Linked DNA regions of Macaca fascicularis. The protein of the gene in region 2 purifies or fractionates together with the protein of the main gene of each other region. This does not show direct contact. Links are inferred from orthologs where the notes say so. Each region holds a gene or a part of one and is shown on either strand. Other genes may lie near its edges. The genes, in order: TSR1 and SERBP1.

The links.
Region 1: the proteins of SERBP1 (region 2) and TSR1 purify together in Homo sapiens (affinity purification with mass spectrometry; 3 studies listed by BioGRID and IntAct, with this or other methods). This does not show direct contact. The link is inferred for Macaca fascicularis from reciprocal best matches to the Homo sapiens genes SERBP1 and TSR1.

The regions. Positions count from the first base shown.
Region 1 is NC_088390.1:2,439,942-2,452,387, forward strand, and holds the end of TSR1 (pre-rRNA-processing protein TSR1 homolog), read right to left. Parts: intron 12,030-12,446; coding exon 11,867-12,029; intron 11,547-11,866; coding exon 11,436-11,546; intron 11,276-11,435; exon of another isoform or gene 11,183-11,275; intron 10,367-11,182; coding exon 10,234-10,366; intron 10,111-10,233; exon of another isoform or gene 10,016-10,110; intron 6,587-10,015; coding exon 6,470-6,586; intron 6,018-6,469; coding exon 5,877-6,017; exon of another isoform or gene 5,767-5,876; coding exon 5,692-5,766; exon of another isoform or gene 5,563-5,691; coding exon 5,384-5,562; 3' UTR 5,070-5,383; coding exon of another isoform or gene 4,854-5,069; 3' UTR 4,545-4,853; coding exon of another isoform or gene 4,335-4,544; 3' UTR 3,860-4,334; downstream 1-3,859. Other genes in the region: SRR (serine racemase), read left to right, coding at 306-409, 2,753-2,872, 3,008-3,082, 4,335-4,544, 4,854-5,069. UniProt on the Homo sapiens protein: Required during maturation of the 40S ribosomal subunit in the nucleolus.
Region 2 is NC_088375.1:167,245,797-167,257,680, forward strand, and holds the start of SERBP1 (SERPINE1 mRNA-binding protein 1), read left to right. Parts: upstream 1-1,450; 5' UTR 1,451-1,552; coding exon 1,553-1,865; intron 1,866-5,564; coding exon 5,565-5,715; intron 5,716-6,568; coding exon 6,569-6,709; intron 6,710-6,810; coding exon 6,811-6,900; intron 6,901-7,454; coding exon 7,455-7,577; intron 7,578-11,729; coding exon 11,730-11,884. UniProt on the Homo sapiens protein: Ribosome-binding protein that promotes ribosome hibernation, a process during which ribosomes are stabilized in an inactive state and preserved from proteasomal degradation.

The DNA.
Region 1 (12,446 bases), on a different chromosome or scaffold from region 2:
TCTTGGCTCACTGCAAGCTCCACCTCCCAGGTTCACACCATTGTCCTGCCTCATTCTCAGGTATCTGGGACTACAGGCGCCCACCACCATACACGGCCATTTTTTTTTTTTTTTTTTGTATTTTTAGTACAGACGGGGTTTCACCGTGTTAGCCAGGATGGTCTTGATCTCCTGACCTCGTGATCCACCTGCCTCAGCCTCCCAAAGTGCTGGGATTACAGGCGTGAGCCACCACATCTGACCACATAAGTTTCTGTTCTACATTCTCCTGACTTGTAGTAACCAAACATGTTTTCCTCTCCCAGGAATTCCTGCTTATATTGTGGTGCCCCAGACAGCTCCAGACTGTAAAAAACTTGCAATACAAGCCTACGGAGCGTCAATTGTATACTGTGAACCTAGTGATGAGGTAAGGAGAGCAGTGTTTGGTACCACCTTAACAGCTTTCATTTGACCAATGGCTCTTTCTACCTTACCGGCTGCTCCTTCTCAGCCTCCTTTGTGGTTTCCTCTTTATTTCTGTTACATGCTCAACCTTTTCTCTATCTACACTCACAAGATCTCATTAGTCTCATTGCTTAAATTATTACCTATGGTCTAACAACTCCAACTTCTCTCCCCTTAACAGCCGTCTTTTATATCCAACAGCTACCTAATTTTCCCACTTGATGTCTTAAAAGGCATCTCAAACTACATCTAAAACCAAACTCCTGATCTTACTTCCCTATATTTCTTCCCTTCCAGGGTTTCTCATCTTAGTAAATGGCAATTTTTATTCTTCTAGTTACTCAAACAAAAAAAGTTGGAGTCATCTTTGTGTTTCTGAAAACTTTTTTTGTTGTTGTTAGAGATGGAGTCTTCCTATGTTGTGGGATCCTCCTGCCTCAGCCTGTTGAGTAGCTAGGACTACAGGTGCATGCCACCACACCTAATTCCTTTATTTTTTGTAGACAGGGTCTCACGGTTGCCCAGGCTGGTCTCAAACCCCTAGGCTCAAGCAATCCTCCCACCTTGCCCTCCCAAAATGCTAGGCTCACAGGCATGACCCACTGCACACAGCCAGGAATCATCTTTGATAACCCTCTCATACTCCACATCCAAATCTCAGTTTGCTTTCAACATACTTCCATAACCCAACTGCTTCTGGGTCTACCGTTAACCACCCTGATTCAAACCAACATCAATTCTCACCTATATTCAATTCAGTAGCCAAACTGGTCTCACTGCATCCACCCTTGCCCCACTATAGGGTTTTTTGAGCAACAGAGCTCTCCATTTAACAAAGTCAGAACTCGTCTCTTTTCAAGTCAAAATTTTCTGTTGGTTTCCCATCTCATACACAGTGGAAACCAGAGTTCTTGCAATCATGTAAGCCCTGGATGAACTCAAACATTCCTATCTTTTTGACCTCATCTTTTTTTTTTTTTCTTTTGAGACAGAATCTCCCTCTGTCACCCAGGCTGGAGTGCAATGGCACGATCTCTGCTCACTGCAACCTCCGCCTCCCGGGTTCAAGCAATTCTTCTGCCTCAGCCTCCCGAGTAGCTGGGACTACAGGTGTGTGTCACCACACCCAGCTAATTTTTGATTCTTTTTTTTTTTTTTTTTTTTGAGACGGAGTCTCGCTCTGTCGCCCAGGCTGGAGTGCAGTGGCGCGATCTCGGCTCACTAAGCTCCGCCTCCCGGGTTCACGCCATTCTCCTGCCTCAGCCTCCCGAGTAGCTGGGACTACAGGTGCCCACAACCGCGCCTGGCTAATTTTTTGTATTTTTAGTAGAGACGGGGTTTCACCGTGGTCTCGATCTCCTGACCTTGTGATCCGCCCGCCTCGGCCTCCCAAAGTGCTGGGATTACAGGCGTGAGCCACTGCGCCCGGCTTGATTCTTTAGTAGAGACAGGGTTTCACCATATTGGCCAGGCTGGCCTCGAACTCCTGACCTCATGTTCCACCTGCCTTGGCCTCCCAAAGTGCTGGGATTACAGGTGTAAGCCACCGCGGCCAGCCCCTCATCTTCTTTTATTGAGACAGGGTCTCGCTCTGTCCAACCCAGGCTGGAGTGCAGTAGTTCGATCTCAGCTCACAGCAGCCTGTTTCCTGGGTTCAAGAGATTCTCATGCCTCAGCCACCAGAGTAGCTGGGATTACAGGCACGCGCCACCACACCTGGCTAATTTTTGTATTTTTAGTAGAGACAGGGTTTCGCCGTGTTGGCAAGGCTGGTCTTGAACTCCTGACCTGAAGTGATTCGCCCACCTTGGCCTCCCAGAGTGCTGGGATTATAGGCATGAGCCACTGCACCCAGCCTTGACCTCATATTCTATTACTTCTCTTGCCCTCTCTGTGCCAGCCATACTAACCTTTACAGCTGTTCCTCAGAAAGGCCAAGCACTCCTACTTTGTAGTCTTTGCACTGTTATCCCCTCCCTGGAATATTCTAGACATCCACAGCACTTGTTCAGATCTTTTAAAATGTCACTTTACTAGAGGCTCTTCTTGGCTACCCTATATGAAATAAATTCCTTAATTTTACTCCATTGCACTTAGACATACCATATATTTACTTCCCCCATCTCTACCATATAATATAACCCCCTTGAGGGAAGAGATATTTTGTTTATTAACATATATATCTCTAGTACCTGAACAAAGTCTGAAAAAAGTAGATGGTCAATAAAATGTTGAATGACCAAACGGAACTTGTTGGGGACTCTATTAAATACAAATCAATTAAACTAAATTAATGTACTTTCAGTCCAGAGAAAATGTTGCAAAAAGAGTTAAAGAAGAAACAGAAGGCATCATGGTACATCCCAACCAGGAGCCTGCAGTGATAGCTGGACAAGGGACAATTGCCCTGGAAGTGCTGAACCAGGTAAAATAGCCGAGTTCTTCCTGGTTAGCTACTGGTAAAGCTGTTGGGCTATATTCAATTATTTTATATGTACACATTAAATATAAAATTGCTTACTAATAGGCCCATTTACAGTTTTTATTCTTTTCACTAAAGGTTCCTTTGGTGGATGCACTGGTGGTACCTGTAGGTGGAGGAGGAATGATTGCTGGAATAGCAATTACAATTAAGGTGAGCAACTTCTGGAAGATTCCCTACTTCAAGCAGAGGATTTATTTTACATCATAAATGATTTGTATACACGTGCTCAAAATTCTGCACACATTACCATTCCTTCCCCTTATTCCTTTGGGACTTGAGATGAAGGCCCGTCTCTGCCTCACTACTCTATTTACTATTTTTTTTTTCTTCAAGACAGACTTTTGCTCTGTCATCCAGGCTGGAGTGCAGTGACACCATCCTGGCTCACTTCCACCTCCACCTCCCGGGCTCAAGCAATTCTCCTCTCAGCCTCCTGAGTAGCTAGGATTACAGGCACACGCCACCACACCCCGCTAATTTTTTTGCATTTTTTTTGTAGTAGAGACGGGGTTTCACCATGTTGGTAAGGCTGTTCTTGAACTCCTGACCTGATGATCTGCCTGCCTTGGCCTCCGAAAGTGCTGGGATTACAGGCGTGAGCCACTGCACCTAGGCTATTTATTATTTTTAGTATTTTTTTTTTAAGAGATGGGGTCTTGCTATGTTGGCCAGGTTGGTCTTGAACTCCTGGGCTCAAGCAATCCTTATTCTGGCCTCCCAAAGTGCTAGGATTACAGGTGTGAGCCACTGCACCTGGCCAACTCTCTTCTTAATCCATGACAATTTTACAGCACAAAAGCAGTTCCCATAAGTGACACCATCAGTCTTTTCCCTGAATTCCATGTCATCAAGCTACTATCCATACCAAGAGGCTACCCTTTTCTCAAATTACCAGGAGAATCAGATGCGATCCAGGCAATGGAAGGCTAGTATCAGACATATAATTTATTTATAAAGTGCTTGAAAATATTTTCATTATATCCATAAAATGAAAGGCTCTTACTTGGGCAGAAATGTATTACTTATTGTTCCTATTTTCTTTTCTTTTTTTTGAGATAGTATAGCTCTGTTGCCTAGGCTGGAGTGTAGTGGTGTGATCTCAGCTCACTGCAACCTATGCCTCCCGAGTTCAAGCGATTCTCCTACCTCAGCCTCTCAAGTAGCTGGGATTACAGGTGCCCACCACCATGCCTGGCTAATTTTTGTATTTTTAGTTGAGACTGCATTTCACCATGTTGGCCAGGCTGGTCTCGAACTCCTGACCTCAGCTGATCTACCTGCCTTGGGCTCCCAAAGTGTTGGGATTACAGGCATAAGCCACCACACCCTGCCCCTATTTTCTTTTAGACATACAGGCAATGTTGTGGTTTGTTGTAAGATGTCTTAATATTCCTCTTCCCAGGCTCTGAAACCTAGTGTGAAAGTATATGCTGCTGAACCCTTGAATGCAGATGATTGCTACCAGTCCAAGCTGAAGGGGGAACTGATGCCCAATCTTTATCCTCCAGACACCATAGCAGATGGTGTCAAATCCAGCATTGGCTTGAACACCTGGCCTATTATCAGGGACCTTGTGGATGATATCTTCACTGTTACAGAGGATGAAATTAAGGTAAGGCTCCAACAGGAAAAGAAATAACAAAGCATGGTATAACTTCTTAGGCAGAAGAACCTTCTGTTAGGAGTAGCAAGTGACCCACGGGAACTTGACAAGGTAACTTCATGACATGGGAGGGTACCCTAGATGTATTAATGACAACCCTCTTGACAGAAGCAGAGTTAGAATTAAAGAAAAGCTTTGGGAAGCATGTATACACAGTGATAAGAAAATTCAAACTGGACATATATTCTCATCTGACCTTTATAAGTAAACCAACTAGACTCCCCTATAACTAATTCCTACTCCCTTCCATATCAACAGCGTGCAACCCAGCTGGTGTGGGAGAGGATGAAACTACTCATTGAACCTACAGCTGGTGTTGGAGTGGCTGCTGTGCTGTCTCAACATTTTCAAACTGTTTCCCCAGAAGTAAAGAACATTTGTATTGTGCTTAGTGGTGGAAATGTAGACTTAACCTCCTCCATAACTTGGGTGAAGCAGGCTGAAAGGCCAGCTTATCAGTCTGTTTCTGTTTAATTTACAGAAAAGGAAATGGTGGGATTCAGTGTCTTTAGATACTGAAGACATTTTGTTTCCTAGTCAGTCAACTCTTAGTTATCAGATTCTTAATGGAGTGGTTATTTCATTAAGATTTAATAGTTTTTTTGGACTAAGTAGTAGAAAAACTTTCATACTTAACTGAGACATTTTGTCAAGGCTAAAAAAAAGTCTTGCAAAATGGGGCAGCAGACTGACAGGCTGACATAGAAAATAAACTGCCCAATCACAACTTGTGCCTCCCATCCCTGACTACTGGCTGGCACCAGTAAGAAGGAATCTCTTTGAATCCATTACTCCATGCCCTCCTGAGGTACTACTGAAGAACTCTCACTTTTCACCCAGGGTACTGGTTCTGGTACATATGGATCGTAAGTCCATTTGGGGAAAACTCGTTTATAGAGGTTCATCAGTACTGTGTCTTGAGATTTTAGCTTCCCATCAAAGCTGCATTTCATGTGGCCATGGGTACCTAGAAAGAAAACAGAACAAGTCAGTCTAATTAAAAGTAGAAAATTTTAAAGCAATGACTTCCAACCCAATAGTCATTTAGCATCACTGCAGAAACGTAGACATGGTCCCAAATCCCATGTTTCCTTACCTAAAGGCTCCTTGATATGTCCTCTCCGGCCCCACTTTGTTCTCAGTTCCACTGGTTTAAACCACAGCACATCCTCTTAGAATCAAACACATAAAACACCAAGATGAAATATTTACCCACAAAATGTAAACCCAACCTTCATACCACAAAGGCAATCAGATCCCATCCTCCTCCTTCATACCTACCTCTGTTGAAGAACATGTAACGTACTACTGCCATCTTAGTAAAAATTTTGAAAGGATGACCGCTCAAAACGACTCTCTTGATGACCATTCTGTCTGGATCTACTGACATAAGATGGCCTGTAGCAATGAGGCTGTGCATTCCTAAAGCACAAAAGCAAAGAAGCTATTTAGGAATTTACAGGCCAAAGTCTTCATTTATTGCCCCAGTCCATCTAAAGACCCATGTAAGAGCCTGGTTTGTCATCCCTGCCCTAGCCCAATCTGAGGCTAAGATTGGTAAACTGCTAAGTCCACACTTAACCTTGTCAATAGGTTCTTGAAAACTTGTACTTGAAGAGAAATGATGTATAACAAAACCGTATTTTTTCTCATCAGTTGTTACAAGGAAAGGATGTTGAACAAAAGGCAGTTATTTGAAGACTGGCTATACACTGTTTCACTTAAAACAACGTTAAGTGAAGACTTACTGTATTTTGAAAACCATCATTACCTTCTCCATACCATTTGGCTCCCAAATCTAAATACAGAAGAGAAAACAGTGTTCATCCTATTAAGGGCCTGCAGGGTCTGTTCATCTCTGTGGCTCAACTTACCATTGCTTTTCTGCTTGAAAAGCAGCACAGATGCAGGAGGAAAAGTGATTGGTGCATAGACTGTCACCACCAGGGCCATGTCAGCAGTCAGGAATCTCTGCAATTTATGTTTGTCCGCTGCCATAAGGGTTAAAATATGAAAACCAAAACCATTTTGAGAAACCAGAGGCAATAGAGGCCTGTGAAAAGCTGGATTAGTGCAACTCTTAAACCTACGGCAGCTTCTACTTCTCTAATCCACCAGTTCTCAAAAATTTTCTCTGCCTCAATACACCTAAAAGATAGTCTAGTCCTATCAGTAACTTCTTTTTTTTTTTGAGTTTGAGTATCGTTCTTGTCACCCAGGCTGGAGTGCAATGGCGTGATCTCAGCTGAATGCAAGCTCCGCCTCCCGGGAACAAGCCATCCTCCTGCCTCAGCCTCCTGAGTAGCTGGGATTACAGGTGCCCGCCACCACTCCCGGCTGATTTTTTTTTTTTTTTTTTTTTTTGAGACGGAGTCTCGCTCTGCCGCCCAGGCTGGAGTGCAGTGGCCGGATCTCAGCTCACTGCAAGCTCCGCCTCCCGGGTTCACGCCATTCTCCTGCCTCAGCCTCCCGAGTAGCTGGGACTACAGGCGCCCGCCACCTCGCCCGGCTAGTTTTTTGTATTTTTTAGTAGAGACGGGGTTTCACCGTGTTAGCCAGGATGGTCTCGATCTCCTGACCTCGTGATCCGCCCGTCTCGGCCTCCCAAAGTGCTGGGATTACAGGCTTGAGCCACTGCGCCCGGCCTGATTTTTGTATTTTTAGTAGAGACGGGGTTTCACCGTGTTGTCCAGGCTGGTCTCGAACTCCTGACCTTGTGATCCGCCCACCTCAATCTCCCAAAGTGCTGGGATTACAGGCATGAACCACAGTGCCAGGCTGTATCAGTAACTTTTTAATTATTTTCAGATGGTGTCTTGCTCTAGTTGCCCACGCTGGAGTGCAATGGCACCATCTCTGCTCACTGCAACCTCCACCTCCCAGGTTCAAGCGATTCTCCCACCTCAGGCTCCCGAATAGCTGGAATTGCAGGCGCCCGATCAGTAACTTTTTTATCTGGAGTCAGAATCTTGGAGCCTAGACTGTATGTGATGTTCTACCTTCAATGTAGCTTTCATTAAAATATTTAAAGGGCAGTGGTGTGAACACAGCTCACTGGAGCCTCAAACTCCTGGGCTCACTGGCTCAGGCAATCCCTCTCGCCTCAGCCTCCCAAGTAGCTGAGGCTGCAAAGCACATGCCACCACACCTGGCTAAGTTTTTTAAAAATTTTGGCAGAGTGCAGTGGCTCACGCCTGTCATCCCAGCACTTTGGGAGGCCGATGCAGGCGGATCACCTGAGGTAGGGAGTTCCAGACCAGCCTGGCCAAGATGGTGAAACCCTATCTCTACTAATAATACAAAAATTAGCTGGGCATGGTAGTACACGCCTATAATCCCAGCTGCTTGGGAGGCTGAGATAGGAGAATCACTTGAACCTAGTAGGCAGAGGTTGCAGTGAGCCAAGATCCTGCCACTGCACTCCAGCCTGGGCAACAAGAGCAAAACTCCATCTCCCCAAAAATGAAATTTTTTTTGTAGAGGCCGGGCATGGTAGCTCATCCCTAAAAATCCCAGCACTTTGGGAGGCCAAGGCACGTGTGCAGATCCCTGAGGTCAAGAGTTTGAGACCAGACTGGCCAACGTGGTGAAACCCCATCTCTACTAAAAATACAAAAATTAGCTGGGCGTGGTGGCGGACGCCTGTGGTCCAAGCTACTTGGGAGACTGAGGCGCCAGAATCATTTGAACCCAGGAGATGGAGGCTGTAGTGAGCTGAGATCATGCTACCGCACTCCAGCCTGGGTGACAGAGCTGGACTCTGTATCGGGAAGAAAAAAAAATTGTAGAGACAGGGGTCTCACACTCCTGACCTCAAGTGATCCTCCTGCCTCAGTCTCTGGAACTAAGACTTTGATTTAGTTCCAGTTCTAAGGATCTGCCTTTATGAAATAAGCAGAGAAGTAAATAAAGTTTTATGCACACAGATCTAATTTAGAGCAAAACATTAGAAATAGCCTAAGTCCTCACCTGTAGAAGCTCAAATAAATATCAGTACATCACATACACTGGAATATATCCAAATGACAATAAAGCATTAAAAGTCTCATAAACTAATTAATCTTATGGAAAATTGATCAAAATTAATTAAATGATAAATGCAATGTTTAACACCATATTTACAATTACAATCCAAATTCTGTTAAAAAAAAAAAAAAAAAACAGAGATCCACATGAAAATGTATAAAATAAAAGTGAATTTTCTCTAAGATAATTGTACTTTTACATTATTCCTTATTTTCCCAACTGTCTAAAATATGAAAATAGTTATTTCATCCTAAAAAAAAATCAAAACCATTTTGAAACAATAAAAAAATGATTGGCCAGGTGCAGTGGCTCACGCCTGTAATCCTAGCACTTTGGGAGGCCAAGGCAGGAGGATCGCCTAAGGTCAAGACCAGCCTGGCCAGCATGGTAAAACCCTGTCTCTACTAAAAATACACAAATTAGCCAGGCGTGGTGGCAGGCGCCTGTAATCTCAGCTACTCGGGAAGCTGAGGCAGGAAAATTGCTTGAACCTGGAAGGCAGAGGTTGCAGTGAGCCTGGATGGCACCATTGCACTCCAGTTGGGCATCAGAGTGAGAGAGACTCCGTCTCAAAAAAAAAAAAAAAAAAAAAAAAAAAAAAAGGCCAGGCACGCTGGCTCACGTCTGTAATCCCAGCACTTTGGGAGACCGAGGTGGGCGGATCACCTGAGGCCAGGAGTTCAAGACCAGCCTGGCCAACATGGTGAAACCCCATCTCTACTAAAAATACAAAAATTAGCTGGGCATGGTCGTGCGTGCCTGTAGTCTCAACTACTCTACTTGGGAGGCTGAGGCAGGAGAACGGCTTGAACCCAGGAGGCGGAGATTGCAGTGAGCCGAGATCATACGATTGCACTCCAGCCTGGGCAATGGAGTAAGACTCGTCTCCAAAAAATAAAATAAAATAAAAAATAACCAGGCCGGGCGTGGTGGCAGCTCACGCCTGTAATCCCAGCACTTTGGGAGGCCGAGGCAGGTGGATCACAAGGTCAGGAGATCAAGACCGTCCTGGCTAACATGGTGAAACCCCGTCTCTACTAAAAATACAAAAACTTAGCTGGCGTGGTGGCGGGCGCCTGTGGTCCCAGCTACTCGGGAGGCTGAGGCAGGAGAATGGCGTGAACCCGGGAGGCGGAGCTTCAGTGAGCCCAGATCTCGCCACTGCACTCCAGCCTGGGCGACAGAGCAAGACTCCGTCTCAAAAAAAATTTAAAAAAAAAAAAAATATATATATATATGATTAAACCTTAGTTTTTTTGGTCTCCAATTCCCCATTCTAATGCCACAAGTGTTGGGATTATGGGTGTAAGCCACTGCACCACTTCACCCACCCTAATACCCTTTTTACAGAGCTGCCAACTTCTACTCAAAACCTGCTCTGGAACAAATACTCATGGCAAAAAAGCCTCAGTATCACACAGAGGTTGCATCACTGGGATGCTTCAGACAGGTTCAGACATTTTGAGTAAAAACATCATTGGCTCTTAAGCCAGAGTACTGAAAATACCTCTAATCCAGAGATGTAAGATTTTGAAACCATATTCTGTACCCCTCCACAAGTCAGTTTCCCAAAAGACAAGATGGACAAGAACCCAGGTTCCCCACTGCTAACCTGCAGTGTGCTGAGAGAATAAAGGTGAGGCTCGGAAGCGCCTGAATCCACAGTGGAATATGAGCTCTTCTTTGGCTTTCACGGGTTCAGTGTTGCCAGGGTCACGCCTCACCACCATATTCAATACTGACATCTGGGGACCAAGTAAGAAAAATAAAAATCTTCATAGCCTAGGAATACAATTGCCTAAACTGAAAGAAGGCAAACCAAACTAGCAGATTCAGACTCATTCTAAGAACTGACAATGCTAATTAATGGGGAGTGCAGATGCTGAAACACAGGTTCATCCTTTCCCTCCACCAATGACTGGCATTTAAGCCGAACGTAGGCTTAATGTAGGCTTAACGTAGGAGCGTTCAGGCACCCTTCAATGCTAACCTACCTTCCTGCATCTAACAGAAAAGAGCTCAACATCTGCCACACAAAAATCAGTGGCCTTCAAGGCATTCACTCACCACAATCTCAAAACCACACTCATTCAAGCCCCTTCTTCTTGAGCCCTTACCAAAACCCATCAAAGAACTATCACATACCCCCACAACATACACAACTACTGGCCACCAAAAGAAAAGAGATCTGCACCTTGGCACAAACTTTTTTTTTTTTTTTTGACATGGAGTTTCACTTTTGTTGCCCAGGCTGGAAAGCAATGGCGCAATCTTGGCTCACCACAACCTCCGCCTACCGGGTTCAAGCAATTCTCCTGCCTCAGCCTCCCAAGTAGCTGGGATCACAGGCATATGCCACCACGCCTGGCTAATTTTGTATTTTTAGTAGGGATGGGGTTTCTCCATGTTGGTCAGGCTAGTCTCAAACTCCCGACCTCAGGTGATCCGCCCACCTTGGCCTCCCAAAAAGTGCTGGGATTACATGCGTGAGCCACCGCGCCCAGCCAAACCTTTATTTTAATGGCTGCCAACCCTTGTTCAAAATCTGGTCTGAAAAACACACTTAGAGAAGTCTCAGAATCACCCAGAGATTGCATCACCGATGTTTCAGACAGGTTCAGACAACATGAATAAAACCATCACTGACTTCTCCATTATTCTCCAATTCCTAATCATAAAGGGAGACTTTCTGTATCCCAATGAGCAAAATGTTAGTCATACATAAACAAAATTTTAGACTGTCAGAAGCAGCTGCAAAGTTTCATAACCTCCCATTTTCATAACCTCCCATTTTCCTACAAGACACTAATTTACCTTCTGTTCGTGAGGTAGTAAAGAAAATGCAATCAAGGGTGCTCCTTGCCTGAAGCACTCGACCACTGAGACAGGGACTTCAGAGACATGAAGTGTGACATACCAGCCAACCTGCCATAAGAAAGCAGAAAGCAATCATGGAGTTACCCTTCAAAGTCCCAATAATGAGGAAGCTTCCTCCAAATATGCTGAGTCTCTCAGATGACCTTTTTAAAGCCTACACTCACCCTTCAAGATGCTTCACTACCCAGATCACGCTTTTTCATTTAACATAGTTGATACCTCTTTGTTCCCAGTATCATTCTACTCAATGACTCAGGGGCTCCCCTAATCCCCCAATGCAGCGTATTTTCATGCCAAGAGAAGGAATAAAGTAGGGAGCATGTTGACAAATGAAAGCAACATACAAGATGAACAAGGAGGATAGATACCTCAGCTCCTTCAACCTCTTTTTCTTCAATCTCTTTAAAAATGCTTTTCCTAGTATTAGTAAAGTTCTGAAACTGAAATATCCGAGCATAATCTTGAGGAAGGTTTTCCTTCGGATCCCATGGAGATGTCCGGAAGCTCTTAAGCCCTCTGTATTTCTGAAATCTAGGATATTGAAGATTTTAAAGAAATTAAGTCAGATTTATATGGTGCTATATAGACTCGTCACTGCTAAAATGGCTAAGGAGCTAGCTGAAAAGAACTCCAATCACTCTCTCTCCAAACAACCCAACAGCTTCAACCAAGACCACACTCCAAAACAGCTTGTAACGAGTTCTATCAGAACCAAACCCAAGCTTCCCATTGACAAAAGACAAAGTATTTACAGTGGCTCCCTGTTACCTGTCAGGGAGCTTTTTAACCTGACAAAAAAGATGCTTGGTAATGGCCTGATATAGTTCAGGTGTGTGTCCCTGCCCAAATCTCATACTGAAATATAATCCCCAGTGTTGGAGGTGGAGCCTGGTGGGAGGTGACTGCATTAGGGGGGAGATTTTCTCATGAATCGATTAGCACCATCCC
Region 2 (11,884 bases):
GTATGTAATATGACTCGTGTCTTCTATTTTCCCTGCTAAGGAATTGATTTAAAATCTGCTCGGAAATTGATGATTACATTCCGCCATGTTACATACCCTGACACACAACCATGTTTAAATCATATCGGAAACTTAAACATTGGACAGCTTTCTATCAGTGCAGAGTCTGAATTAAAGAGCTGATGTCCGGTCTCCTAGTGGAGGTAGAAGGCTGGGCTAATACCTGTCACTAGCACTTACAGAGGTGTGAATTTGGTAAATCATTTCATCTCTGAAGTGGTTTCAGCATTTGTGAAAAGAGGCAACTATTTGCGTAACACAATGTTGAGTTCAAGGTTATTCATAGCTCCTGCCAGAGATGCATTTGCTATTTTGTGTTAATGGAAAAGGATTTAAAAATTATGATATATTTAAACACGGTGCTACCAAATGTGCTTAAAATGCATTCAAACTGTATTCTTTTAATGAACTTTAATATTCTCAACTAGTATCAATGCTTTGTTATTATTAAGTATTGACTTCAATATTTCCCACCCCTCACCGCAACTCCTAGCACACACGCACTCGAAATGCTCTAAAATGGTATTTATTGAGCGCATGTGACTAACACCACAGCCACCTAAGCCCTGACTTGCCGGACACGAACGGACAATTAATTGGAATGACTGTAACAGCGTTTCTGTAAACAGTGCTTCCTAGCGGCTTGCCCAGTGTCTAGCGCTGCACAGTCAGGAGTTAACCACTCCTACGACACCGGCCGCCACACGGTGAGAAGCCCGGGAAAGACGCGCCACACTCCCATGTGATAGTTTCACTTGTCTTTTTGGTTAGTTCTGCTACCCTAGTTCACGTCCCCGCGAGAGGAAACGTATTCCACCTCACATTAGACAGAAGAGCCTCGATTCACCGTGGAGCCTGACAAAAGGGCACTCCAGCGACTGAGCTGCTCGGACTTGGCACAGGCAGGGTCCAGCCTACTCGCTGCCGGCGCGGCGTCTCAGCAACACCCCCTCCCCCGGAAGTTTGTGCGTCTCAGATGTAAGGTCTGGGAGTCACCTTGACCCTTCCCGGAGCGGTGGGGAAAGTTAGCCTGAGCCCGAGGGAGCGTGAGTGAAACCAAAGAGCACTTTCGCGAGTCAGCTACGCCGTCACGTTTTTCTGGTTTCAGGGTAGCTGAAGACCTAGAGAGTTTAAGGGCGACCAGAGCAGGTGGCAGGACTCCGCCCACCACCACGCTTCCCCTCCTTCAGCTCGCACGCTTCACTCCCTTCTTGGGGTCCCGCCTCTCGGGCGCGCGCGAAGAGTTGTCGCGCGGTGCATCCTGGGAATTGTAGTCCCAACGCAGGGAGTCGCCTCAGGAGAAACTACTCTGGCCTACACACCCCACAGTGCCTTGCGGCGCTGGCCGCTCCCGGATGTGTGCCTGGCGCCGGAAGAGAAGACGGCCCCCCTCTCTCGGCCCGGCCATCTTGTGGGAAGAGCTGAAGCAGGCGCTCTTGGCTCGGCGCGGCCCGCTGCAATCCGTGGAGGAACGCGCCGCCGAGCCACCATCATGCCTGGGCACTTACAGGAAGGCTTCGGCTGCGTGGTCACCAACCGATTCGACCAGTTATTTGACGACGAATCGGACCCCTTCGAGGTGCTGAAGGCAGCGGAGAACAAGAAAAAAGAAGCCGGCGGGGGCGGCGTTGGGGGCCCCGGGGCCAAGAGCGCAGCTCAGGCCGCGGCCCAGACCAACTCCAACGCGGCAGGCAAACAGCTGCGCAAGGAGTCCCAGAAAGACCGCAAGAACCCGCTGCCCCCCAGCGTTGGCGTGGTTGACAAGAAAGAGGAGACGCAGCCGCCCGTGGCGCTTAAGAAAGAAGGTAAAGCAGGGGCAGAATGTGGGGGAGACTGGGATGGAGGGAAGGAGCGAGAGGGCTGCCGGCTACCACTTGTTTCTGGAGCTCCGAGGGTCCGCGGGAGACTTTGCCGCCTATTTCCTCACGTTTCTTCACGCGACAAAAGCCAGGTCCTGCGAAGGTGCCAGGAGCGTGGTAGCCCCAAGTTCAAGCCACCGCCGGCGAGGCTCTCGGAGCCACCCCCTTCCCGCCTTAGGTTGTGAGCGGAGGAGCGTGGTCGGAGATGAGCTGCTCCTCGAGCGCGCTCGGGGTCCGGGGAGGCTGTTGCCTTCCCGCCGGATTCCTTGGCGGGCGAGCGCATGGACTGAGGTGCGGGGAAGCCGGCCGCTCACCGACGCTTGCCGTAGTTACGGAGGGGCTCGGGGTCCATCGCTGCTTACTGCGCAGAGCTGCTCCTTTGAGGTGCTGTTGTTTCAGGCTCCTGTCCTGCCATCTTGTCCCACGACGGCGCGGAGTATCCCCGCCGAAAAGCAGGGGGTCGTTCCAGGCCATCGGACGTGTGGAGTCAGCCGCAGGTTGGGGTGCCGCGTGTGCTTTATTGTTTCTCCTCCACCTCTCAACTGTTAGGACTTTCTCAGAACTTGCTGGGGTGAGTTGAGCTGTTGGGAAATGGAGGAGTTTGGCCACACTCGACTAAGCAGAAGCGGGAATTATGAATGAAGACTGGTGATCGCAGGACGTCCCGAGGAAAGTCCTCGAGTCACGATCCTCTCTCTCTCGACTCCCCAAACTGAGTCTTTCACATGGTGGACTCTGGGCCTCGTGGGTAAAGTGAGTGCAGAGGCTGTCACAGCGTTAGTCGCAGCAGAGCTCTTTAGAGTCTGCAGCTTTTTTTTCCCCCTCCACATGTGCGTGAAGCATGGTCAGAGTTTCACTGGCGGTTAATAGTTGCTTCCAGGGCACTGTGAGTTTCACAGGATTGTCTTGATTTTTGCATTCTCATTACCAGTTTGTTACGGATGAAAAAGAGCAAGTAGTTCGAAGATAAGAACGTGCATGATCAATAGCAAGCAGGTGTCGGACCTAAGGTCTGAATCTTTAAAGCTGTATTTATATGTTGAAAGTTGAAATTACCCCTTCCTGCCACGTGCTTCTCTGAAAGGAGTTCTCATTAGCTTTTGTTGACTTCTGTGACATTCAACTAATTTTGAAAATCAAAACAATTTCCTCGTGGTGGGATTTGTTTTAGGAGGTTTATTGTTTTTTGTGGTTTTTTTTTTTTTTGAGGACTTTTATGAGGCTTAGAATGAAGAACCTCGGTCCTAGGTGGTGAATGAAGAAAATAATTCTTGTGGTAAAATTATAGGTTGAGGAGAAACACAGTTGGAGTATTAGAAAGCATGTACATCACTTAGGCCAAGTATCTCTTCAGCCAATTAAGCTTTATGGCAATCTAACACACCTAAATAAATCATTTAATTCGTGTGTTAAGTAATGCTGACTTGTGTAATTATTTAAACTATGCTTAAGCTTAAGAAAGTAAACAAAAAAGTTGAGTCTGACGAATAGTGTGTACCAGGTAGATGTGTTCACTCATTTTGAATGTTCAAAACATGAAGCATGTTTAAATGCCTGAGTTATTTTGATCATGAAGCCCATCTAAGAAATAAGCTCTTACCTGAAAAGTATTTTAAGTGACAAATGTGGGGAATGATTTCATGAAGTTAGAACTAAGACTTAAGTTCACCATTCAATAAGTCTTTCCATGGGAAAACTATTCCATATTAGCAATCAACATTTTCCTTAGGTCAGTATTTCAGAGCACTCTTATTAAGTTGCATAAAATACAAGCATGTAAATACAAGAAAAGTGTTGAATGGACAATACCCGTTTTGAGATTCTACTGTCCTATTTACTGGGAATATATCTGTAAACAAAATCCCTGCAGATAGTAGGAAGGTTAACCTGATTGTGTTCTGTGGTTTTGACAACACATTGTGACATAATGCTTGACATACTTTAGACAGATATTTAATGTTTATGTTTTATGAATTAATTTTGTAGCTTCTCTTGCCTATTTGAAGAACTTGAGAATTGATAGCAGAATGTCATTGAGAGTGTAGACCAGGCATTTTCTAAAACAGAATGGATGCCTGAAACTAGTGCAGTTAATGAGCTTGCAGGTTATACATAAGTATATCAAAAGAAGCTTGCATTTTTAAATGTCAGTCTTTTTCATTAGGTGAGTTTAATCTAAGTTTCTAAGATTCTGTAAGCTTAATATTGATATTGGGTGGGGACGCCAACTATTGTTCACTTGGGTGTGTGTGGCTTGGATATTATTGCAAGGACTGGCTCCTTAACTCCACCCCAGTACGCTTTATTACTGATGACATTTATTTAAATACCTTGGTGTAAGGTCTAACATTTGTAGTCTGTCTTGTATTTGCTGGGAATGAACTTCAAAATTCTATTGAAGAGACTGATAGTTACTGTTTGGCTCCAGTTACAGGCAATTGAACAATTGGGTGTGTCCTGATGGTGTTCTACTTTCTTCGAACCAAAGTGAAGCAGCTTAAAATCTTGTAAAACCAATTCCTCAGCTGCTTTATGACTTTGTCAGAAATTGGGAATTAGAGCATACCAACAATCTTAAAGTCATTAATTTAATCATCCATCTATTGATCCTTAAGGGCACTAGTAATTTAAATTGGTTGCCTTTGTGGGGTTTCAAACATTACAGGAAAAGCAGTAAAGGGGGAAATTAGTAAATGCTTCAGCTATCACTTAGTGTCACAAGTTTCTTATTTCTTACCTACTGCTTAAAAGGGGTCTTATGTGTGTGGATTTGGTTTTTAAAGATTATTTGACAATAAAGATAGTTGTTAGGGCAGATTTTTTAGAGGACTGTCTCCATGCATAATAAGTAACTGTTTCCTAACTTGGAAGTACTTAGAGATGTGGGAGTGTGTACAAACATATATACACTTACATGCTATAAATTTTTAAACTGTTTAATAGGGGAAGATGGCCCTTTTTGTGTGCCTGCAGTTGAGACTAAAAGATGACACTTTCTGGTTAAATGGCTGTTTTAAACTGAGGTGATGTTCTCTAATAATCCTAAATGCCATATTTTCCTTTCAGATTTGTGATTCCATAGAATTATGAGTCTTAATTGCTTTTTTGTTTTTTCAGATTAGATAGGATAACAAAGTGTGGCCCTCACTTTTGTGAGGGGCCATATCTAGTGAGTGTGTTGATTTGCTTGGTTATTATGAACGGCTGCTGGTATTTTCTTTGGTATTTTAAAAGCCAAAATGTATCACTTGCCTAACATTTTTTAAATTTAAAACTTTTTATTAAGAGACTGATATCTTGAAAAGTGACGGGAATAATGGTTGCCCAAATGATTTCCAAGTCAGTTATAGAAAATGCTTATGAGGGGGAGAATAACTTGGCAAACTAAATAGAAGTTTAAAACAAGTTTATTGTCTGTATTTTATTTATTTATGTATTTGGTCCGTGGTATGGATTGGAAGGTTTATTGTCTTTAAATGGCAGTTTCCCTAAGGTACTTTGTTACACATTAGAGTTACCCAGTGTTTACTTTTTTCCAACAGGAAATGGTAGTGGATTGGAAGAGAAGCAGCTTTTTGACAGTCCAGGCCTAAACTTTTTGTATTGCGAAAATAGTTTGCTTATGCAGGTTATCTATCCTTTTAGGAATAAGACGAGTTGGAAGAAGACCTGATCAACAACTTCAGGGTGAAGGGAAAATAATTGATAGAAGACCAGAAAGGCGACCACCTCGTGAACGAAGATTCGAAAAGCCAATTGAAGAAAAGGGTGAAGGAGGCGAATTTTCAGTTGATCGGTAAGTTGTTTTTTTTTGTTTTTGAGCCAGGATCTTGGTCTAACTCCTAGGCTTGGAGTGCAGTGATGCAAGCGTAGCTCACTACAGTCTCTGCTTCCTGGGCTCAAGCAGTCCTCTCATTTCAACCTCCTCCTGAGTAGCTCGGACTACAAGATCACACCACCACACTCTGCTAATTTTTTTGTAGAGCTGAGGTCTCACTATCTATATTGCATGGGTGGGTCTTGAGCTCCTCTGCTCAAGCTATCCTCCTGCAATATTGGGATTACAGGCGTGAACCAAAAAAGTCTTCATATTTTGTTACTTTATAGAGTCACCGCTTAATGTTAAGCTATAAATTGGGAATAATTGCCAGGTAGCAGTCTGGCTAATTGTTTCTATTAGTTTTTGACAGAAACATCTGTATGTGTGCATTGTTATGTTTTAGACCTTTGGGTGATGGTTCAAACTTAGGTCTCTTGTAATGGAAGCACTTTATTGAATTGATAACCACTTTTTTTTTCTTGCTGTCTCCCGATACAGAGTTAGAAGGAAAATACTGTTGGTTTATTAAATGTGTTTAATTTTTAAGTGTATTAGTAAATAGTGATGGACTGGATTATATGTGCAATGAGTAACAGTGGAAAAGTATATGCATTGGTAGTAATGTTTTAGAGTGCTAAAATAGTTTTCTTGTTCTGGGAGGCTTTCTTGTTCTGGCTTCCTTTATGTTTAGAAATAGACTATTTTGAATTTTCTGAAGCATGTGTATTTATTGGTTTTTGAGCTGGTAAACATGTTCTGTATTTTTGGGTTTTTGGATGGATTTTCCTCATTCTGGAAACCATGGAAGTATAATTTGTTTATATTATAGACCGATTATTGACCGACCTATTCGAGGTCGTGGTGGTCTTGGAAGAGGTCGAGGGGGCCGTGGACGTGGAATGGGCCGAGGAGATGGATTTGATTCTCGTGGCAAACGTGAATTTGATAGGCATAGTGGAAGTGATAGATCGTAAGTCTTACTGGTTTTTAGTTTATTTTAATATTTTAATCTAATAAACAAACTTTGAATTTCTAGAACTAAAGAGTATTATGTTAACTCAGTTTTGTTAGTTCTTTTTCACATTACAGTGGCCTGAAGCACGAGGACAAACGTGGAGGTAGCGGATCTCACAACTGGGGAACTGTCAAAGATGAATTAACGTTGGTATTCTGATTTTTTAAAAAATTCTGTACCTAACTAGGGGTTAATCCATACCTCTGTCAAATTTTACTTGTCTCTGAGATAATGAATGCTCTCCTCTGAGAGCTACTGTAAGATAATGTCCTATGGGATGAATTTGGGTTGTAGTGTATTGAATGACTGGTTTTTCTATACTTCAATATATTTGTTACTCATTTTTCCCCCATATATATTTGTAGCTTTTCCTGAAACCCCACAATAAGGTTATTTGGGTATTCTGATTATCTTAGTGTCCTTAATAGTTCCTATTCTAGTTTTTGACTTTGTTGTCATTACAAAATTTGTTAAACTAGTAAAGCTTGGTTTTATAATTAGCTGCCTTGTTCTGTTACTTTTTAAGTATGAAGTATATGAACTAAATAGTTTATATTATTTGCTTTTCAAGGTCTTCTGGGGAGTATATTTAGTAGGAAAGGAGTTAGAGAATGTGAGGGCTTACGGTATTTTTGTATGAAGAACTCTTCAGCTACATGTAAATGGACCTAGATGCCTTTCTTTTTCTTTCTTTCCTTAGAGAGTCCCCCAAATACATTCAGAAACAAATATCTTATAATTACAGTGACTTGGATCAATCAAATGTGACTGAGGAAACACCTGAAGGTGAAGAACATCATCCAGTGGCAGACACTGAAAATAAGTAAGTGGTTTTGCGTGTAATAGTAATGACCCAGAATTGAAAGCACTGGATTTTGACCAATGAGATAACCCATAGATTTAATGCTGTTGCTTGATGGCTTTTTGTTTTTGACAAGGGAGACGTATTGTACCCTCATCCCTCAAAGAGTATTTAAAAGAATGCTTTTTTTTTTTTTTTTTTTTTTTTCTTTTTTTGGTAAGAGACAGGGTCTCACTATATTGCCTAGGCAGGTCTGGAATTCCTGGGCTCAAGCGTTCCTCCTGCCTTGGCCTTCCAAAGTGCTGGGATTACAGGCATGAGCCGCTGCACCCAGCCCTTAAAAGAGTGCTTTATGTGTATATATTTTGACTATGCTTTGAAAAATAGAATATTTTAATGTGGTTATTTCTGTTTGATTAGTCATTTTACCATTGTCATACAACCGTACAAATTTTACTTTGAGATAGTTAAAAGTAGAAAATGTGGCCATTTTAAGATTAGTTCTGTCTTGAAGTTACTTCCAACGTAGAATTTGGAACATAGCATTACTGGCCTGTTTTTAAATGTGTGAAGAGAGCAAAGATCAGAGTATGTTATTCACGAGCATTTTTTTCTTTTTTGAGACCAGGTCTCATTCTGTTGCCCAGGCTGGAATGCAGTGGAGTGATCTTGGCTCACTGCAGCCTCCGCTTCCTGGGCTCAAACAATCCTTCCACCTCAGCCACCTGAGTAGCTGGGACTACAGGTGCCTGCCACCAGGCCTGGCTAATTTTTGTATTTTTAGTAGAGGAGAGTTTCACCATTTTGCTCAGGCTGGTCTTCAACTCGTGAGTTCAGGCAAGCCACCCACCTTGGCCTGCCAAAGTGCTGGGATTACAGGCGTGAGCCATCTTGCCCAGCCCTTCACTAACTTTTTTTTTTTTTAATGCCTCGCTAATATTCTATATTTTTTAGTAGAGAGGGGTTTCACTGTCTTGGCCAACTGGACAGGCTGGTCTTGAACTCTTGACCTCAGGTGATCTGCCCTCCTCGGCCTCCCAGAGTGCTGGGATTACAGGAGTGAGCCACCACGTCTGGCCCTTCACTAGCTTTTAAAATTACGTGTTTTTGTTTTGTGTTTTTTTTTTTTTCTTTTTCGAGACAGTCTCGCTCTGTCACCCAGGCTGAAGTGCAGTGGCGTTATCTCGGCTCACTGCAACCTCTGCCTCCTGGGTTCAAGCAATTCTTCTACCTCAGTCTTCCGAGTAACTAGGATTACAGGCGTGCATCACCACACCTGGCTAATTTTTTATATTTCTAGTAGAGACGGTTTCACCATAATGGCCAGGCTGGTCTCGAATTCCTGATCAGAGTGCTGGGATTATGGGCGTGCGCCACGGCGCCTGGCCTAAAATTATGTTTATTTTGTCAGTTATTTGTTATTGTGGTTTAAAGTCTTGGATTACAGGTTGTTTAGGACAGTGATTCCTAACCAGAAGCATATTCAAGTTAGTTTGGGGGTGGGAGGGGCAGATGCTTTCTAAACTTGCTCTTTTTTTTTTTTTTTTTTTTTTTTTGAGACGGAGTTTCACTTGTTGCCCAGGCTGGAGTGCAATGGCGTGATCTCGGCTCACTGCATCCTCTGCCTCCTGGGTTCAAGTGATTCTCCTGCCTCAGCTCCTGAGTAACTGGGATTACAGGTATGTGCCACTATGCCCAGCTAAGTTTGTATTTTTAGTAGAGATGGGATTTCTCCATGTTGGTCAGGCTGATCTCCAACTCCCGACCTCAGGTGATCCGCACACCTCAGCATCCCAAAGTGCTGGGATTACAGGCGTGAGTCACTGCGCCTGGCCTTGAATTTTTTCTTTTCTTCAGGAAGAATTGCTCTTATGGTGAAACACTGTTAATGATGGGAGTATCATATTCCATGGATTTGTTGGGATAAGGAAAAATGATATACTATTGGAGGGAGTAGATAAAAGTACCTAGTATTGGGTGATGTTTTGAACTTGGTAGTACAAATTTATGCAAAACTATAATGGAATCATACTTTTGCCTGATAAACAATGAAATTGTGATTGGTGCCTTAACAAATGAACCCTATGCAACATTAAGTTTCTCACAGTGGTCAACATTTTTGTTTGTTTGTTTCTTTGAGACACAGTCTCCTGTCTCCCATGCTAGAGTGCAGTGGTGCGATTTTGGCTATTCTGAGGTTCAGGTGATTCCCCTGCCTCAGTCTCCCGATTACCTGGGACAATAGGTATGCTCCAGCATGCCCGGCTAATTTTTGTATTTTCAGTAGAGACACGGTTACACCATGTTGGCCAGGCTGGTCTTGAACTCCTGGCCTCAAGTGATCCTCCTGCCTTGGCCTCCCAAAATGCTGGGATTACAGGTGTGAGCCACGGCGTCCAACCACAACTGTTTAATAGAGCCCATGTTGAATCACTCAGAGTGATCTGCAAATATTATAACTTTACCAAAAGGTACTAATGTGCTGATAGCGTATCGGTAGCAAATCCTTAGCTGAGTACCCAGGAATGAAATTGAAGGTGTTTGGTTTAAAGAAAATAATTATCCATCACATTAGAACTGTCTCTAATCTTACTCCAGAGTAGGGAAGAATCTGGGCATAGCATATGGAAGTATAAATTTAAGAAACACAACATTGGCTGACTGATTAACTAGCTTATATATAGCTTCCAGAGCTTCTGTTTGGTTTTTATTTAATCTTTGCAGTGATTCCTGAAAGGTGGGTGTCATGCCTCCATGATATGATAAAAGGTATGCTAAGTTATATTCCTGGCTGTGTTATAACATGGGTAACCAGGACTTTTTTTATATTCTTGGATTTCTCATCTGTAAAATGACTGGGTGGACTCAGTACCCAATTCAGTGTAAACTTGCTCTAGAGTTGTTTTTTGTTTTTTGCAGCATAGATATAACTGGAGGAAGTTTTAAGATAGGATTTGTCAAATGGTAAAGGGCAGCATCCAGGGAGATATTTGAGCTCTAAAGCTAACTGAATCACCTGCTATCTTTGGAAAGAAGGGCTCCCCAAATAGCAAATGACTTGTTTGATGACAATTGCAAATTGAGATTATACTAAAATAATGGATCCTTAGGCCAGTGCTTTGTTTCTGTAAAAAGAGGAAAGGATCGTATTCAATAGTTATAGACTGGAGAATTATATTTAGAAATAAATGGTTTAGTGTTAAATAATGAAACCAGTGTGTGTTTGTGGATAGTTCTATTAGCAGTGAATCCTTGGCCTCCTTTCCATATACAGGTTGGTTTGAAAATTGGAGTATAAGGATTTTAGGATTTGTAGAAACATGGCTATTGTTTTTATTTGCTATAAGTGCTAGTTGCCGAAATAAAGCATAGAGGAACAGTTCTTTTATGTTCCAAAATTTGAACCCTGGTTGCTAACAGACATTCTTCTGTCAAGAGGATAACCTTCTTGTGTGTTATTAAGAATTAACGTATTTTGGGAATTATGGAAATTAAAAATGTGGTTTAAAAGAAGATAGGCTGAGGATTTTACCTAAGAAGGTAGTTTTTAAACAAGGTACTGTTTGGTTTTTTATTTTTTGAGACGGAGTCTCGCTCGTAGCCCAGGATGGAGTGCAGTGGTGTGATCTTGGCTCGCGAGCTCCGCCTCCCGGGTTCACGCCATTCTCCTGCCTCAGCCTCTGGAGTAGCTGGGACTATAGGTGCCCGCCACCACGCCTGGCTAATTTTTTGTATTTTTGGTAGAGACGGGGTTTCACTGTGTTAGCCAGGATGGTCTCGATCTCCTGATCTCGTGATCTGCCCGCCTCGGCCTCCCAAAGTGCTGGGATTACGGGCATGAGCCACTGTGCCCAGCCGGTACTGTTTTTAAGAAATGTATATTTTAGTATTGGTAAAGCCTGTTCTAGGTTGTATTACTGATAAATGATCATTTAAGAGTTCATGAGGATGAATTCTATATCCCTTACTTGTATATAGTCAGCAAACACTGAATTCCTGGTCTCTACCAAGTTGCTTAGTTACACAGGAAACTAGGATACCCTCATCCTTGGATAATCTTTCTCTAAAAGATTACAAGGTTCACTTTCTTAATTAAAATCATAAATTTGAAATATTTTGATGTAAATTATATCAGCTCTCTACCAGGTATAAAACTTGAAAACCTTTTCACAGGGAGAATGAAGTTGAAGAGGTAAAAGAGGAGGGTCCAAAAGAGATGACTTTGGATGAGTGGAAGGCTATTCAAAATAAGGACCGGGCAAAAGTAGAATTTAATATCCGAAAACCAAATGAAGGTGCTGATGGGCAGTGGAAGAAGGGATTTGTTC